2 linked regions of the Callithrix jacchus genome follow. The protein of the gene in region 2 interacts with the protein of the main gene of each other region in a biochemical or structural test. Links are inferred from orthologs where the notes say so. Each region holds a gene or a part of one and is shown on either strand. Other genes may lie near its edges. The genes, in order: NUP43 and NUP85.

The links.
Region 1: the proteins of NUP85 (region 2) and NUP43 form a complex in vitro, tested with the Homo sapiens proteins (2 studies listed by BioGRID). The link is inferred for Callithrix jacchus from reciprocal best matches to the Homo sapiens genes NUP85 and NUP43.

The regions. Positions count from the first base shown.
Region 1 is NC_133505.1:156,516,581-156,526,381, forward strand, and holds part of NUP43 (nucleoporin Nup43), read right to left. Parts: intron 8,944-9,801; coding exon 8,866-8,943; intron 7,819-8,865; coding exon 7,638-7,818; intron 4,384-7,637; coding exon 4,248-4,383; intron 2,256-4,247; coding exon 2,104-2,255; intron 1,926-2,103; coding exon 1,821-1,925; intron 1-1,820. UniProt on the Homo sapiens protein: Component of the Nup107-160 subcomplex of the nuclear pore complex (NPC). The Nup107-160 subcomplex is required for the assembly of a functional NPC.
Region 2 is NC_133506.1:131,119,987-131,129,887, reverse strand, and holds the start of NUP85 (nuclear pore complex protein Nup85), read right to left. Parts: upstream 6,536-9,901; 5' UTR 6,460-6,535; coding exon 6,427-6,459; intron 1-6,426. UniProt on the Homo sapiens protein: Essential component of the nuclear pore complex (NPC) that seems to be required for NPC assembly and maintenance. As part of the NPC Nup107-160 subcomplex plays a role in RNA export and in tethering NUP96/Nup98 and NUP153 to the nucleus.

The sequences.
Region 1 (9,801 bases), on a different chromosome or scaffold from region 2:
TATCACGGCTGGGCGTGGTGGCTCAAGCCTGTAATCCCAGCACTTTGGGAGGCCGAGGCGGGTGGATCACGAGGTCGACAGATCGAGACCAACCTGGTCAACATGGTGAAACCCCGTCTCTACTAAAAATACAAAAAATTCGCTGGGCATGGTGGCGCGTGCCTGTAATGCCAGCTACTCAGTAGGCTGAGGCAGGAGAATTGCCTGAACCCAGGACGCGGAGGTTGCGGTGAGCCGAGATCACGCCATTGCACTCCAGCCTGGGTAACAAGAGTGAAACTCCGTCTCAAAAAAATAAATAAATAAATAAATAAATCTATCATTCATATTTATAAAAAAGCTGCAACAATAAATTGAGGAGCACAGCATTCATTAGCAAATATGACAAATAGCCTGCATTTGCATGTGAAAAGGGCATTCTTGCACACTTAACTATGGCAATATAAAATGGCATGATTTTTGTTACCTTTTTTTTTTTTTAGGGGGGCAGGGTCTCACTATTGTCCAGGCTGGGGTGCATAAGTACAATCATAACATACTACAGCCTTGAATTCCTGGACTCAGGCAATTCTGCCTTGGCCTCCTGAGAAGCTGGTGCATGCCACACCACCTGGCTTAAATTAGTATTATTAGCTTTTCAAAGAGGTTGTTGCCTAAGCTGACCTCAAACTCTTGGGCTCAAGCAATCTTCCCGCCTCAGGCTCCTGAGTAGCTAGAACTACAGGTATGTGTCAATGTGCCTGGCTTAAACTGGTATTATTTTCGTGTAGAATCCTCTTGTCAATGGATTATGCAAAATGTTTGACCTATCAACTCTACTTCTAAAAAATGATCCTAAGAAAATAAGTAGGCCGGGTGCAGTGGCTCACGCCTGTGATCCCAGAACTTTGGGAGGCTGAAGCAGGTGGATCACAAGGTCAGGAGTTCGAGACCAGCCTGACCAATATGGTAGAAACCCCGTCTCTACCAAAAATACAAAAAATTAGCTAGGCCTACGGTGGCATACACCTGTAGCCCCAGCTGCTTGGGAGGCTGAGACAGGAGAATTGCTTGAACCAGGAGGTGGAGGTTGCAGTGAGCTGAGATTGCACCACTGCACTCTAGCCTGTGTGACAGACCAAGACTCTGTCTCAAAAAAAAAGACAAGAAGTACATAAGGCTGGGCATAATGGCTCATACCTGTAGTCCTAGTACATTGGAAGGATCGTATAAGTCAAGGAGTTTAAGGCTGCAATGAGCTATGATCACACCACTACTATACTCCGGCCTGGGTGACAAAGGGAGACCCTGTCTTCCAAAAAACAAGGGTACATAAATATCTAAGGATTCTCAGTACAGTTTTGGATATAAGACTGAAGCCTGTGGCTGGTTTAGTGGCTCATAGCTTACACCTGTAATCTCAGCACTTCCTGAGGATCATTTGTTTGAAACCAGACTGGGCAATAAAGCAAAACCCCATATCCACAAAAAAACAACAAAAAAAATCAGTTAGGCATGGTGGCACATACCTATAGTCCTATCTACTTGGGAGGCTGATATGGGGGGATCACCTGAGCCCTGTAGGTCAAGGGTGTAGTGAGCAGTGACTGCACTACTGCACTCCAGCCTGGGCAACAGATTCAGACCGTCCCTTAAAAAAAAAAAAAAAAAGCCAGGCACATGGCTAATGCCTGTAATCCCAGCACTTTGGGAGGTTGAGGCGAGCAGATCATCTGAGGTCAGGGGTTTGAGACCAGCCTGACCAATATGGAGAAAACCCATCTCTATTAAAAATTCAAAATTAGCCGGGTATGATGGCACATGCCTGAAATCCCACCTACTTGGGGAGGCTGAGGCAGGAGAACTGCTTGAACCTGGGAAGCTGAGGCTGTGGTGAGCAGAGATGGTGCCATTACACTCCAGCATGGACAAGAGTGAAACTCTGTCTCAAAAAAAAAAAGAAACATGTTAAACAACTTAAATGTCAAGTAAAAAGAGATTAGATAATTATTTAAATTAAAAGCTATCATGTAAAATGATCCACGTGTGTCATTATGAAAAGGTGCTTATTATATGTCATATAACTCACCCAATAAAAACTTTCTGTATCTCCACAATACTTACTTTCAGCTTCATGAGCCTTCAGCAGAGATACAGGCATAGTACCTTGTCTAACATCCCAAATACTCAACATTCCATCTTGGCCACCAGTAGCTACAACATGCTGTTGGTTGGGATGTCTATCAACGCAGTGGAGTGGCACTCGGTCACCAGTTCTTTTGTGGGAGATAACATTGACATCAAAATCAGATAAAGTATAATTTATCTTTGTGTAACACAAGAAACATGGTTTTTTTTGTTGTTGTTGTCATTTTCGAGACAGGGTCTCACTCTGCTACCCAAGCTGGATTGAGGCACTGTGATCGTGGCTCATTGCAGGATCAAACTCCCTGGGCTCAGGTGATCCTCCCACGTCGGCCTCCTCCTGAGTAGCTGGGATTACATGTGTGCACCATCACGCCTGATTAACTTTTTGTAGTTTTGCAGAGATGGGGTTTCTCCATGTTGCCCAGGTTGATCTTGAACTCCCAGCCTCAAGCAACCTAGCCACCTTGGCCTCCCAAAGTGCTGGGATGACCAACATGGACACTGTGCCCAGCCTGGATTTTTCTTTTTTAAGAGAAAGGGTCTTGACCAGGTAGGTTTAGTGGCTCATGCCTGAAATCCCAGCACTTTTTGAGGCCAAGGCAGGTGGATCACTTGAGGTCAGGAGTTCAAAACCAATCTGGCCAACATGGCGAAACCCTATCTCTACTAAAAATATAAAAACTAGCCAGGCATGGTGGGTTTTTGTAGAGACGAGGGTCTTGCTATGTTGCCCCAGCTGATCTCAAACTTCTCACTGCAGGTGATCCTCCCAAAGTGTTGGGATTACAGGCGTGAGTCACCATGCTCAGCCAAGAAACATGTTTCATATGGTAACTAAACAACAACTTAGTGGCTGGAGCTACTGGTTGAATCTTTTTTTAAAATTTGAGACAGAGTTTCATTCTTTTTGCCCAGGCTGGAGTGCAATAGTTCGATCTTGGCTCACTGCAAACTCTGCCTCCCTGGTTCAAGTGATTCTCCTGCCTCAGCCTCCCAAGTAGGTGAGATTACAGGCACATGCCACCATGCCTGGCTAATTTTTGTATTTTTAGAAGAGACGGGGTTTTACCATGTTGGCCAGGCTGGTCTCGAACTCCTGACCTCAAGTGATCCGCCGGCCTTGGCCTCAAAAAGTGCTGGGATTACAGGTGTGAACCACCATGCCGGGCCTGGCTAAATCTTAATGATGCCAAAAAATGAACTAAATTAGATATATTTCCAAATAGTACAATTTTGAAATAATTCAAGGCCACAATTATTCATTCTCACTTCAATATGGAGACACAGAATGAAGGATAATCTGATGATAAGATGTATAAATCATATTTCCACTTCTTAGATTTCTTAAAAAATCATACATCAACTGTACTAAATATTATTTATCATCTTATTTTTTTTTTTTATATGGAGTTTCGCTGTGGTTACCCAGACTGGAGTGCAATGGCACGATCTTGGCTCACCGCAACCTCCGCCTTCTGGGTTCAAGCAATTCTCCTGCCTCAGCCTCCCGAGTAGCTGGGACTACAGGTGCGCACCACCATGCCCAGCTAATTTTTGTATTTTTAGTAGAGATGGGGTTTCACCTTGTTGACCAGGATGGTCTCGATCTCTTGACCTCGTGATCCACCCGCCTCGGCCTCCCAAAGTGCTGGGATTATAGGCGTGAGCCACTGCACCCAGCCTATTTATCATCTTATTAAATGCTTAGTTTTTATAACTATTTTTTCAGTGTGACACATTCTATTTTCGTATGAGAAAAGGTTGTATACCTAAAAGGGGGGATTTCTGCTCATAAAAAATATCTGGAATTATATTTTTCCCCTAATCATTATATCTGGAATATATTTTATCCATTAAATAATCATTGAAAGAGCAGAAATAAGTTCTCCACGAAATAATACAAACTTCAAAGAGTAAAGGTTCTGAATCACTATAACAAATAATTGCTAAATGAAAGTAGTGTCAACCCCATCAAGTTATTCAAGTTATGCTTTCTCTACCAAATTTAATCAGGGATCACCCTCTTAAAATGTAATTAACATAGCTTAAAGATAATTGCTATAAACAACCAAACACATTAATTTTGGATTACATTACTGAAATTACAAATCAATACTTACAGTGACAATATCTGAGAAGGCTCATTTCCTTGTTGTCTGAAATCCCATATTTTCAACTGTCCAATTGAATTCACAGTAAGAATCTCAGGAGTTCGAAGAAAGGTTACAGCATGGAGTGTACTACTATCTGCATTGTCTAAAAATTTTTAAAAATGGTAATATGTGTTAATGAGTTCCTTTTTTCCAAGAAAATCTTAAATCACACTCCTTTCATGGATTGCTATATTACAAATACAATTTCCAGTAACTAATAATTTAAATTTCTATAGAAAAGTACACAGTAATGTACATGTTTAAATGAATTCTCTTTGGATGGAAAAATATTACAGGACATCTGAACTGTTTTCTTTTTCTTTTTATTTTTTTTAAGATGGATATTGCCATGTCACCCAGGCTAGAGGGCACTGGTATGGTCTCGGCTCACTGCAACCTCTATCTCCCAGGTTCAAGTGATTTGCTTGCCTCAGCTTCCCTAGTAGCTGGGATTACAGGCACACACCACAACGCCCGGCTAATTTTTGTATTTTTAGTAGAGACAGGGTTTCACCACATTGGCCAGGCTGGTCTCGAACTCCTAAGCTCAGGTGATCCACCCACCTCGGTCTCCCGAAGTGCTGGATTTACAGGTGTGAGGCACTGGGCCCAGCCTTGAACTGTGTTAGAAATGGAAGGCTGAGTTTTCATACATTCTTTTTTAACTCTTAAGATTGTTCCCAGCACTTTGGGAGGCCAAGGCGGGTGGATCACGGGGTCAAGAGATCGAGATCATCCTGGTCAACATGGTGAAACCCTGTCTGTACTAAAAATACAAAAAAAATTAGCTGGGCATGGTGGCACGTGCCTATAATCCCAGCTACTCAGGAGGCTGAGAAAGAATTGCCTGAACCTAGGAGGCAGAGGTTGCGATGAGCCGAGATCGCGCCATTGCACTCCAGCCTGGGGTAACAAGAGCGAAACTTCGTCTCAAAGAAAAAGAAAAAGATTGTTACCCTGCATTTCTGAGAGAGTTGTTCAAGCTCCCCTAAACCCAATCTTATTTCCCACTAGTTCCTGATCTAGAACTTCCCTTCTATTGGGCCAAACCCCTGTGCTTTCTACAGAGCTCATGCCAATCTTGTATTATTCTGCAGACTCATCCCAAATCTACTTATTTTCATCCTCATCAACTCTCGCCCTCTCTATGAAGTCATTCCTGATTGTTATAATGGTCCTTCTGTTGATTTCCTGGTGTTTAGAACTTATGCCTCATAATTTAACATATACTTTATAGACTTTAGTTTGTGCCACTCCTCTACACTGCCACCAGACAACGGTCATTAATTAACAAATAAGTGATGTTGCCCAGTGCAGTGGCTCACACCTGTAATCCTAACATTTTGGGAGGCCGAGGCGGGCAATTCACTTGAACCCAGGAGTTGGAGACCAGCCTGGACAGCATGGTAAAACCTCATTTCTACAAAAATTAGCCAGGCATGGTGGTATGCATCTGTGGTCCCAGATCCTTGGGAGGCTGAGGCAGAAGGATTGCTTGAACCTGGGAGGCAGAAATTGCAGTGAGCTTGGATCATGCCACTGCACTCCAGCCTGGGTGACAAAGCAAGACCCTGTCACAAAAAAAAAAAAAAAAAAAAAGCAATGCAACTTAACTCAGAACTGAAAACCATAATAAACAACACAGAAAGCCGAGCACGGTGGCTCACACCTGTAATCCCAGCACTTTGGGAGGCCACAGTGGGCAGATTACATGGTCAAGAGATCGAAACCATCCTGGCCAACATGGTGAAAGACCATCTCTACCAAAAATACAAAAATTAGCTGGGAGTGATGGTGGGTGACTGTAATCCCAGCTACTCAGGAGGCTCAGGCAGGAGAACTGCTTGAACCTGTGAGACGGAGGTGGCAGTGAGCCATCATGCCACTGCACTCCAGCCTGATGACAGAGTGAGACTCCATCTAAAAAGTAAATAAATAAATAAAACAAAACAAAAAGATGGACGTATGGGCTCAATTCCTAGCGATTCTGATTCAAGAGGTCTAGAGTGGTGGACAGTTCAAAAAAACTTCCTCAGGCAAGTCTTATTGAAGCATAGTTGAGAACCAATACACTGAGTTTTCCACCTACAAGATGTAATCTCTGTGATTTTGCATTATAGACTCCTTGCAATCTGGCCTGTTTACCCTTCTCTTGCTTCATCTTTCATCTCTCCTGCATAAATATCTAAAGTTGGGTCAAACTATACTTTTTGTCATTCTCTGAAGGTCTTTATCCTGTCTCTGGCCTATTCCCTTTGTCTAGCATGCCATCTTTTAGTATTACTTATGGTCTAGAACCTAGAAAAAACTATTACTACCTACTCCCAGATGCTTTATCTGATAATCCCCTCTGGCCAAAGGAAAAAAAAGGTTTCTGTCTTCTCTAGTCAGTCATTTGTACTGGCCTCATCAATATACTGTCTTGACAAAAGCATCCTGTCGTGTGTGTGTGTGTGTGTGTGTGTGTGTGTGTGTGCGCGCGCGCGCACACATTTATATATATATTTTTGAGACAGAGTCTTGCTGTCACCCAGGCAGGCAGGAGTGCAATAGTATGATACTGGCTCACTAAAGCCTCAGCCTCCTAGGTTCAAGCAATTCTCATGCCTCAGCCTTCCAAGCAGTTGGGACTATACGCGTGTGCCACCATTGCCAGTTAATTTTTATATTTTTAGTAGACAGGATTTCGCCATGTTGGCCAGGCTAGTCTCAAACTCGTGGCCTCAAATGATCTGCTTGCCTTGACCTCCTGAAGTGCTGGGATTATAGGCATGAGCCACTGTGCCTGTCCATGTATTTTTATATCCCTCAACCATTTAACATTGTGTTTACTTCTGAAACAGAGTCTTGCTCTGTTGCCAGACTGGAGTGCAGTGGTGTGATCTCAGTCCACTGCAACCTCCGCCTCCTGGGTTCAAGCAATTCTCCTGCCTCAGCCTCCCCAGTAGCTGAGACTACAGGTGCGCACCACCATGCCCAGCTAAGTTTGTATTGTTGGTAGAGACAGGCTTTCACCATGTGGCCAGGATGGTCTGGATCTCTTGACCTCGTGATCCACCCCTACCTGGCTGTGTTTACTTAGTATATCGTAAGTACTCAATTACTCTGTGAGAGATGAAAGAAATAAAATGATTTTTCTTTTTTTGAGATGGAGTCTCCTTCTGTTGCCCAGGTAGGAATATGGCAGTGCCATCTCAGCTCACTGCAACCTCAGCCTCTCGGGTTCAAACAATTCTCCTGCCTTGGCCTTCTGAGTACCTGGGATTACAGGCATGTACATACTACCACACCCAGCTAACTTTCATATTTTTAGTAGAGATGGTTTCACCATGTTGGCCAGGCTGGGATTTTTCTTACCTATGGTTCTTACAGCTTCCTTGTGATCAGCTCTGAAGAGATTTATTCGACCATCCTCTCCAACTGTAACAATTTCTGGGTTGTTACACACAATACCTGTACATGGTGCACTGCTATAGGAAGGACTGCTGGGGCCTGTGTGGTAGTGAGCTGTAGTCCATTGCTGGTTGACTGACAGAGTCTAGGCATCAGAAATGAGGATACTATTAAAGAAAGTTTAAGGAACTAGCACTTTTTGCCAACAAGACTATCTTTAAATTCTGATTCACACCCTTCTAGAAGAATAAATCTCTCTTTTTTCCTTTAGAGTAATGAAATCTAAAAACTACTTCTATCAAAGTTCTGTATACTGAGGGTGGGCACAGTGGCTCATGCCTGTAAACCCAGCACTTTGGGAGGCCAAGGAATGAAACTATATCTAAAATATAATTCTCTGGCCCACCACTGTGGCTTATGTCTATAATCCCACCACTTTGGGAGGCAGGTGGATCACCTGAGGTCAGGACTTTGAGAACAGCCTGGCTAATGTGGCAAAATCCCATCTCTACTAAAAATACAAAAATTAGCCAGGTGTGGTAGCACCTGGCTGTAATCCCAGGTACTTGGGAGGCTAAGGTGGGAGAATAACTTGAACCAGGAGGCGCAGGTTGCAGTGAGCAGACATCACGCGACTGCACTCTAGCCTAGGTGACAGAGAGAGACTCTGTCTCAAAAATAAATAAATAAATAAAATAAAACATAAGGCTCTTATCGGTTTTTGTAAATGACTCAAAAAAACACTTAACATGAACTGGGTCTTGATATTTACTAGGCATGTCTATTAGAAAGGCTACCTTTGGTTGGGCATGGTGGCTCACATCTGTAGTCCCAGTACCTTGGGAGCCCAGGACAGGTGGATCACCTGAGGTAGGGAGTTCAAGACCAGCCTAACCAACATGGAGAAACCCCATCTCTACTAAAAATACAAAATTAGCTGGGCACGGTGGCGCATCCTTGTAATCCCAGCTACTGGGGAGGCTGAAGCAGGAAAATTGCTTGAACCCAGGAGGTGGAGATTGCGGTAAGCCGAGATCATGCCATTGCACTCCAGTCTGGGCAACAAGAGCAAAACTCTGTCTCAAAAAAAAATTCACTTTTCTATTTTGTTATTATTATTTTTTTCTTTTTCTTTCCCTAGAAAACAATATTCTATCATAAAAAATTCACTTTTCGAACTAAAGTTCTTTACCTGGTTATTTGGATGGTGAAGGAAAACTGTTACACATCCCGTTGATGAAGCAGTGACAATTCTTTCCTGGTCAAAAAACTAAAGAGAAAATTTCTGCTTGTTGAAGATTCAGAAATATTAGTAGGGAGGAAGTCCATTTCTTTATTTAACTTGATTAGTAGTAACTTCTAACAATTTTGAAAAGTGAAGTCTATGAGTGCTAAGCAAATAAATAAAATGTGTTAATGGAGCTGAAAGTCCAAACTGCCATACAAATAAGAGTATTTTTTTATTTTTATTTTTTAGTAGTGATCAAAAATAAGAGTATTTTCATGGATAAACAATATTTTTTTCCTAAACACATTCACTTACAATTGATTTGATTTGGGCTCACACCTGTAATCCCAACATTTTGGGAGGCCTAGGCGGACGGCTTGCTTGAGCTCAGGAGTTCAAGACCAGCTTGGGCAACATGGTGAGACCCCGTCTCTACAATAATACAAAAATGAGTTGGGCTTGTGGGAAAGCAGAGGTTGCAGTGAGCCAAGATCAAGCCACTGCATTCCAGCCTGGTTGACAGGTGAGACTCAGTTTCAAAAAAAGAATAAAAATTTTAAAAAAGAAAATATCTTTCCTAGGGCTAGGTAGCTTTCTAGAGAATAAAATGCAGGGACTCTCCACATCAGGATTTGAAAACTTAATTTCATCCCCACCACTCACTACTGGTTTTGAGACGTTGGCCAAGTTAAGTTCTCTAAATCGTGGTAAATCTTTAAAACGGGAGTACTAATCTCTACTTAGGGAGTTGTTATGAGAATTCAAAAAACAAAATGATGTAAAACCCCCTGTACAGTATCTGTCACATAGAACATGCTCAAGATATACTAGTCTCAATTTTCTCATTAGTAAAACAAAGATAACGATACTTGATTCACTGGCATGCAACAATAAATTAAC
Region 2 (9,901 bases):
TTGCTTGAACCCAGAAGGTGGAGGTTGCGGTGAGCCGAGATTATGCCATTGCACTCCAGTCTGGGTAACAACAGCAAAACTCCGTCTCAAAAAAAAAAAAAAAATGCGTGTGTATAAGTATGTATGTGTGTATATATATAGATATATAAATAAAAATGTTTAAAAAGACAGGGTCTTACTCTGTCACCCAGGCTGGAATGCAGTGGCTGATCTCAGCTCACTGCAACCTGCACCTCCAGGGGTCAAGACATTCTCCTACCACAGACTCCCAAGTAGCTGGGACTACAGGCATGTGCCACAACACCCAGCTAATTTTTGGCATTTTTAGTAGAGATGGGGTTTTTGTCATGTTGGCTAGGCTTGTCTCAAACTCCTGGGGTCAAGCGATCTGCCCGCCTCAGCCTCTCAAAGTGCTGGGATTACAAGCGTGAGCCACTGTACCCAGCCAACTCTTAATAGATGATAAGCCAGGCAAGGGAAAAGCATTGCCCACAATGGCACTGGAACAACTGAGTATCCACATGCAAAAAATGAACTTCACATCACACACAAAAATTAATTTAAAATGAATCAAAAGGCTGGGCGCAGTGGTTCATGCCTGTAATCCCAGCACTTTGGGAGGCAGAGGTGGGTGGATCACCTGAGGTTAACAGTTCGAGGCCAGCCTGGCCAACACGGTGAAACCCTGTCTCTACTAAAAATACAAAATTAGCTGGGTGTGGTAGCACACACCTGTAGTCCCAGCTACTCCTGGGGCTGAGGCAGGAAAATCATTCAGACCTGGGAGGCAGAGGCTGCAGTGAGCCGAGATCGGCACCAATGCATTTTTTAATATATAGTTTTAATATATTTAAACACTCTACAGATGTAAGCTACATAAAGAGTAACAAACCTACATTAACTGCAACTTAAGACCCCATGTCTCATTTTGTCTAGTTAGCTTTGAAATGACCCCTATTTCCAACTTTTGGTTTTGTCATCGACTGCTTTACAATCTGATGGCTCTAACTGAAACTTTAGGCATCTCAACTTTCTAAAAAGCAAAAACTCAAGGTCGGGTAACTTACACTTTACTGGGACCTAGAGGTTACCAAGAACTAAGAGAGAGAATTTTGAAAGCCTATAATGGCTAGATATCTCACCTAGTTAGAAAGGTCAGGAAAGGCTTTCCTGAGAAAAGAGCTTGCTAGAACTTGCATTTGTACAATGACCAGGAGACTGTGAAGAAAAAAACAGCATTTGGAGATCCCAAACTTACTATGCTAAAGGGAAAGTTAAGCTAGGGAATTGTATCACACAATATTGCCTTCCTTTTGTTCCTAGAGGGCTATTATTTCAAACCCTATGTCACAGCTTCATCCACAAGCCAGTTTCCCACTTTATAAGGCCACGTATCTCCCCAGATAGCCTCCCTAAGAAATTGCTCACAAGGAAATTCCTTGTGAGCCTTAACATTTTTCAGGAGAAACCTCCTCCTATAAACTAGTCCTAAAAATGAGGGCTGTTGATTCTCACCCTGACAACGTCAGCTACCAGCTTATCTTCACAAGTACAAGACCAGAAATCAACCAGATGCGGTGGCTCACACCTGTAATCCCAGCACTTTGGGAGGCTGAGATAGGCAGATCACAAAGTCAGGAGTTAAAGACCAGCCTGGTCAACATGGTGAAACCCTGTCTCAACTAAAAAAAAAAAAAAAAAAAAAAAAAAAAATTAGCTGGGCATGGTGCCACACACCTGTAATCCCAGCTACTCAGGAGGCTGAGGCAGAATTGCTTGAACAGCAGAGGTGGCAGAGAGCTGAGATCGCACCAATGCACTCCAGCCTAGGCAAGAGAGCAAGACTGTCCCAATAAAAAAAGAAAAGATAAGAAATCATCCCTCTACCTACCTAAGATGAATGCATAAATGTTTTGTCTACTCCCTCTTTTCACAGGTAAAATGCAAATTTACTGAGGCTAATCAGAGACTCACAAGAATGTAACCATTTGCCTCCTCATTGCCTAGCCTCCCATATTTTCCCCCTCCTGCTAGCTCCTTCCTCTTTTTTTTTTTTTTTTTTTTTTTTTTTAAGAGATGGGGTTTCACCATGTTAGCCAGGCTGGTCTTGAACTCCTGACCTCATGATCCACCCATCTCGGCCTCCCAAAGTGCTGGGATTACAGGCATGAGTCATCGCGCCCAGCTGCTCCTTCCTCTTTAAGGAATGATGTTCCCAAACCTATCTTTGGCAAAAGCACAAGTCACACATTCTCCTGTGACCTGTGTTTTTTCCTGGTTGGATTCTCAACCTTAGCTAAATAAACCTTTACTGATTGAGGCTTGCCTCAGTCACTTTTCAGTTAACAAAAAAAAGAGGGAAGAGAAGAGCATTCCAAGTAGCGAAAACAGTAGGTATCTCCTACATAAAGCCCATGAATTTCTGTATACACATCACAGATTATCCATATTTGACATGCTCTCTTCAAAGTTCAAATGGAATTGAATGCACAGCGATAAAACGGGAATAGTCTGTAAGGTCTTTTAGGCTGACTGACAGCGCCATGGATGCCATGTTAACCTCTGTGACTCCAGATGAGTTCCTGGAAAATCTGAAATAACTGGAAAACCATGAAAAGAAGAAGAAATGATCAACCCCTTTGAGACATTCTGTATTGTTCCTTATTCCTGCCCCAACTGATAAGGCCATTGGATTTTGTAACCAACCTTGGTCAGCCTGGTCTAGGTCAACCTGGACTCCGCACTCTACAACCTCCTCGCAGCTTGCAAACTTAAGACCCCCATCTCAGCTTGCAAAAACCCCGCCCTAAACTGTAACTTCTGTAACTTTCCACTGCTGACCCCAAACCTATAAAACCAACTCCTCTCCCACAGCCCTTAACTGACTCTTTTCGGACTCAGCCTGCCCACACCCAGGTGAATAAATAGCCATGCTGCTCACACACTAAGGCTGTTTTGGGGGGCGGGGTCCCTTCATTCAGAGTGCACATTTTAACATTTGGTGCCAGAAACCTGGGATGGGGGAACTACTACAGGAGACCAAACCCCGGTCCTGTTCTCCTTGGGCTCCCTCCATGGAGAGACCTACCTATGACCTAGATTCATCAGACCAGCCCACAGATCTACTCACCATCCTCTCAGCTCAGGTAAGTGGTTTGCCTCAACTTTTCTCTTTAGCCCTTCATGCTACCTGTCAAGCTTTGTCTCCCCTCAGTTTCATTTTTCTCTCCCTTTCATCAGAGACAAGAAAGACAGGACTTTCTGTGAGGTTCATGACCAGAAAAAAATCCTACGTAGGTCACGGAACTGGGAAGACAGTCTTCCATCAGTGACTGATCATTGCGGAGACATCTGCTCTGGTCACTCACTCACACTCACAGGTGATAGATCAATACGGGGGACGCCCCCTTTGACCGATTCACCCCAGGTTCAGACCAAGATTTAGTCTGGGATGTCTGCTAAACTGCTTGGTCATGCATTCACTTTCCTTGTCTCCACCGCTCGTCTTTTTTGTTGTTTTTTTTTTTTAATTTTTAATTTTTTATTTTTTCCGCCGCTCTTTTCTTTTTTAGACAGAGTTTCGCTCTTGTTACCCAGGCTGGAGTGCAATGGTGCGATCTCGGCTCACCACAACCTCCACCTCCTGAGGCAATTCTCCTGCCTCAGCCTCCTGAGTAGCTGGGATTACAGGCACGCACCACCATGCCCAGCTTATTTTTTGTTTTTAGTAGAGATGGGGTTTCAGCATGTTGACCAGGATGGTCTCAATCTCTTGACCTCGTGATCCACCTGCCTCGGCCTCCCAAAGCGCTGGGATTACAGGCATGAGCCACCGCGCCGAGCCCCGCTCTTCTTAAACTATGGGCAAACTCCTACCCTCCATTCCTCCCTCCTCTCCCTTAGCCTACGTTCTAAAAAACCTCAAACTTCTCCGGCTATCACCTGACCTAAAACCTAAGCATCTTATTTTCTTCTGCAATACTGCTTGACCATGATATAAATTGGACAATGGCTCTAAATGTCCATTGTCCATTTAGAAAATGGTACCTTCAATTTCTCTATCCTACAGGATCTAGATAACTTTCGTAGTAAAATGGGCAAATTCTCTACGTCCAGGCATTTTTTTTTACACACCAATCTCTCCCTAATCTCTGTTCTCAATGCAACCCATCCCAAATTTTCCTTCTCTCCCTTCCATCTGCCCCTCCTGCCTCTGCCAGCAACCTAGAATTCTCCTTGTCCATCGACCCTTCCGACCTTTCTCCTCCCTGCCTGTCGGAACCAGGCCCTAATCCAGGACCTAAGCCCAACCCCTAGAGCTTTCCTCCTCTTCCTCTGCCCACAACCCATTTCCTTATGCCCCTCCTGTCACCTCGCCACCTCATAAGTGCCCCAGCTTGCAGTTTAGTCCTGTGGCTACCTCCTCCACCCCTGTCTGACAATTCCCTCTTCGAGAGGTGGCTGGAGCCAAAGGCATAGTTAGGGTGCAGGTTCCTTTCTCTTTATCCGACCTTTCCCAAATCAGCCAATGGTTAGGCTCTTTTACATCAGATCCTCCAATACTTAACCCAGGCCTGTAATCTCGCCTGGAGTGACTTAAATGTCATCCTTACTTCTACTCTCACCCCTGAAGAATGCTTGATATGCATTTTATCACCCATTGAGTCCCTAACATTACAAAAAGCCACAGAAATTAGAATCTGGCCCTCAAACCCCACAACAGGAATTAATTGACCTCACCTTTAAGGTGTTAAATAATAGGGAAAAAGCTACCCAGGGGCAGCGTATTTCGGAATTACAAATGCTTGCCTCCTCTGTAAGATAGACCACAGCTACTTCTTCTTCGGCTCACAGAAGTTTCAGACCACCAAACCCACAGCGTCCAGACTTCTCTTCAGGACCTCCTTCCCCAAAGCCTTGCTTCAAATGCCGAGAACCTGGCCACTGAGCCAAGGAATGCCTGCAGCCCGGATTTTTTTTTTTTTTTTTTTGAGACAGAGTCTTACTCTGTCGCCAGTCTGGAGTGCAGTGGCGGGATCTCGACTCACTGCAGCCTCCGCCTCCTGGGTTCAAGCAATTCTCTTGCCTCAGCCACCCAAGCAGCTGGGACTACAGGCGCGCGCCACCATGCCCAGCTAATTTTTGTATTTAAGTAGAGACGGAGTTTCAACATGTTGGCTAGGCTGGTCTGGATCTCTTGACCTCGTGATCCGCCCGCCTCAGCCTCCCAACCGGGATTCTTCCTAAGCCATGTCCTGTCTGTGTGGGACCCCAATGGAGGTAGGACTGCCAGACTCAAACTGCTGTCTTTAAGTCTCCAGGAGCCCAACCCGGGAGCCCTCAGGCTGACTCTTTCCCTGATCTCCTTGGCTTGGTGGCTGAAGACTGATGCTGCCTGAACATCTCAGAGGCTCCCTGGAACATCACAAACACTGCGCTTCGAGTAACTGGTGGAGGTCAAGTCCATCCCCTTCTTAATCAACCCGGAGCCACACACTCCACACTGCCTTCTTTTCAAGGACCTGTCTCCTTGGCCTCCATAACTGTTGTGGGAATTGACGGCAAGGTCTCCAGGCCTCTCAAAACTCCCCAAGTCTGGTGTCAATTAGGCCAGCACCACTTTCCATATTCTTTCCTAATCAGTCCCACTTGTCCAATTCCTCTGTTAGGCCAAGATATCCTAGCAAAATTGTCTGCCTCCTTAACTATTCCTGGGCTATAGCCACACCTCACTGGCGCCCTCCTCCCCGAACCCATACCTCCTGAATAGCTCCTCTTATGTCCCCCTACCTTAACCCTAGGGTGAGGGACACCGCCTCCCCATCCGTGGCTACAAGTCACTCTAACTTTCCACTGCCCACCCCAAACCTATAAAACCAACTCCTATCTCACCGCCCTTCGCTGACTCTTTTCGGATTCAGCCCGCCCACACCCAGGTGAATAAACAGCCATGTTGCTCACACAAAGTCTGGGTGTATCTTCATTCAAAGCGCACGTTTTAACAGTCTCCCCAGAGAATAAATACGTTCAATAAACCTTAGACCACACAGGCAGAAGCTCAATGTACCGCTTGCAAAGCTTAACATAGCTAGAAGAAAAACATCAATACTTCTGCTCGGGCTGAACCCACTCTACTGCCCAAGAGGAAAAGCGAGGGAAATAGAAAGGCCAGGAAGACAAAGGAGGGAAAGGGATGGAGTGGGACCTTCGGGGCCAGGACTTGTGACTGGTGGCAGAAACCCTGCAACCACTGCAACTCGAGGGCGGGCACTTCGTTAACACTGCGACCTTCGGACAGTGGCAACTGAGTCAAGGGTAGGGGACGAGCGCCTAGCGGCCAGGAGGGAAGCAGACAAGCCTGAACTAACGAAGCAGACGCAGTTCTGGAGCCGCAAGGACGAACAAGCCTTTTCGGGGCGCCCTTACAGTGACTGTTGGCTCGCCATCAAGCTCCTCCATAGCGCTACACTCCAGCCTCCTGGAAGTCGCCCCACCGCCAATGCTTCCCGCTCAGGCCTCCAGCTCAGAGCTGGCTAAGAGAGGACCCCGCTGGGCGCCTCCTGCAGCGCCTGCAAGCCCAAACCCTCAATGCTGCGGGGGCCTCTCCTCTCAGCCACCCGTCTGCGGTCCTCTGAGCGGGTCCTTCCTTTCTGGCCTCGACAGCACGTCAGGGAGAAGAGCGCCGAGGGCAGACTGCATTCACGGTACCGCGCTCACAGGATCAGGCGGCACCGCGGACATCCCCGCGCCGGGCGGAGAAAAGGCCCCCGGAGACGGCGGGAGGGGCGGGAGGACCCTGGGGCCAGAGACGGTGCGACTGCGCGTGCGTGAGCTTTGCGGCGCTGGTGCGAACTCGGGCAGCGCTAGGGCCCCAGTGAGCGTACAACCTCTACCAACGCTGGGAGTCCTCGCCCCATCCTGGTCTCCACTTTAGTGTCGTCGCAGCTGCTTGTCCAAACCCCGACAGTCAAACGGATTTGTGCTGGAAAGCAATCGCCGCCACTCCCACACTAGAACACATACAAGAAGCACCCGGACAAAATCGACACCACTGAAGGCTGGGCGCGGTGGCTCACTCCTCTAATCTCCGCACTTTGGCAGGCCTAGGTGGGCGGATCACTGGAGGTCAGGGGTTCGAGACCAGCCTGGCCAACATGAGGAAACCTCGTCTCTACTTAGAATACAGGCCGGGCGCAGTGGCTCACGCCTGTACTCCTAGCACTTTGGGAGGGCTAGGCGGGCGGATTACGTGAGGTCCGGGACTTCGAGACCAGCCTGACCAACATGAAGAAACCCTGTCTCTACTAAAAATACAAATTAGCCGGGCATGGTGGCGCATGCCTGTAATCCCAGCTCCTCGGGAGGCTGAAACAGGAGAATCGCTTGAACCCGGGAGGTGGAGGTTGCAGTGAGCCAAGATCTCGACACTGCACTCCAGCCTGGGCAACACAGTGAGACTCCATCTCAAAAAAAACAAATCTTGGCTGGGCGCGGTGGCTCACGCCTATAATCCCAGCACTTTGTGAGGCCGAGACGAGTGGATCACAAGGTCAAGAGATCGAGACCATCCTGGTCAACATGGTGAAACCCCGTCTCTACTAAAAACACAAAAATTAGCTGGGCATGGTGGTGCACGCCTGTAGTCCCAGCTACTCGGGAGGCTGAGGCAGGAGAATTGCCTGAACCCAGGAGGCGGAGGTTGCGATGAGCCGAGATCCGCCACTGCACTCCAGCCTGGGTAACAAGAGCAAAACTCCGTCTCAAAAAAAAAAAAAACAAATCTTAGTGCTATACTTCCTTTATTATTTTTCTTTTAAGGCTGACAAAATGACATTTGAAGATAACAAAAGTACTTAGATTGTCTGACCAAGAGCTAGGTAACATTGAGGAAAATGTATTGGCAATATTCTTTGGTCTAAGACTGATATATACCAGTCATTTTACCCAATCATTCAAATAGGCTTATTAATAGAATAGTGAAAAAGGAAAACTACAGCTAACAGAGCTATCCTTGTTCTGTATTTTGACTACATATACTATATATGGACCTTTTCCTTCCTCAACCTCTCTATAGATTTCAAAGAATAAGGTTTTGATGAAATCGTTTATGTATCCTTTTTCAGATAATCCTAATGGAATACCATTGGAAAAACAATTCGTTTACAAATTATTTTTCTCTTTTCACTCTTCCATCAGTGGCTCCTTGCCCTCTCTTTTCCTCCTCCTCTCTCTAGAGTGGTTAACTCTCAAATTGTATTTAACTCTGGAAAAGTCTTCAATTATGCAGGCGATACTCCAACTTGAGGTATAATAGAAACTTATTAAGAGAAAAAGAGCAAAGTATTTCTAGAATTAAAAATCATCTAAAATAAAGCATACCTGTTGCACAAGAATCAAACCAGAAATCATTTTTAAGTCACTCCAAAGTCAGGCTTAGAATCCATCTCAGATCGGCTGGGCACAGCAGCTCATGCCAGTAATCCTGGCATTTTGGAAGGCCGAGGCCAGTGAATCACTCAAAGTGATGAGGAGATTGAGGCCAGCAAGCCTAACCAACATGGTGAAACTCTGTCTGTACTAAAAATACAAAATTAGCTAGATGTGGTGGCCCATGCCTGTAATCCCAGCTATTTGGGAGGCTAAGGGAGAAGAATTGCTTTAACCTTGGAGGCAAAGGGTGCAGTTGGCTGATTGCTCCACAGCACTCCAGCCTTGGTGACAAGAGTGAAGCTCTGTCTCTTTTTTTTGTTTGTTTTGTTTTGTTTTTTAGAAACTCTGTCTCAGGAAAGAAGAATCCATCTCAGATCAAGCCAGAGGCAATGTGCTGAAGATGTGGCCTAAGTTTTTTTTGTGTATGAGACATAGTCTTGCTCTGTCACCCAGGCTGGAGTGCAGTGGTATGATCATGGCTCACTGCAACCTCTGCTTCCCAGGTTCAACTGATTCTCCTGCCTCAGCCCCTTGAGTACTGGTTGGTATGTGTACTGGTTGGTGGCATGTGCCACCGCATCCAGCTAATTTTTATATTTTTAGTAGAGACCGGGGTTTCACCATATTGGCCAGGCTGGTCTTAAACTCCTGACCTTGTGATCCACACACCTCGCTCTCCCAAAGTGCTGGGATTACAGGCATGATCCATGGTTCCAGGCCTTTTGTTTTTTTTTTTTTTTTTACCTTGAGACAGAGTCTCACTCTGCTGCCCAGGCTGGAGTACAGTGAAGTGATGTTGGCTCACTGCAACCTCTACCTCCTGAGTTCAAGTGATTCTGCTGCCTCAGCCTCCCAAGTAGCTGGGGCTACAGGCACACACCACTAAGCCTGGCTACTTTTTTATTTTTTAGTAGAGACAGGGTTTCACCACATTGGTCAAGCTGGACTTGAACTCCTGACTTCAGGTGATCCACCCACCTCAGCCTCCCAAAGTGCTGGGATTACAGGTATGAGCCACCGCATCTGGGCTGGTAAAGTCTTAAGTATATACATTTTAATGCATCCTAATAAAACTAATGCTCCATAGTCTGCTAAAGAAATAAATACACAATCATTTCAAGAGACGTAATTATTTTGGAAAACAAGGTAGAAATCTATTATCAGCAGCCACACAAATATTTATGTACTTTTTTTTTTTTTGAGACGGAGTTTCGCTTTTGTTACCCAGGCTGCAGTGCGATGGTGCGATCTCGGCTCACCACGACCTCCACCTCCTGGGTTCAGGCAATTCTCCTGCCTCAGCCTCCTGAGTAGCTGGGATTACAGGCACGCACCACCGTGCCCAGCTAATTTTTTGTATTTTTAGTAGAGACAGGGTTTCAGCATGTTGACCAGGATGGTCTCAATCTCTTCACCTCGTGATCCACCCGCCTCGGCCTCCCAAAGTGCTGGGATTACAGGCTTGAGCCAC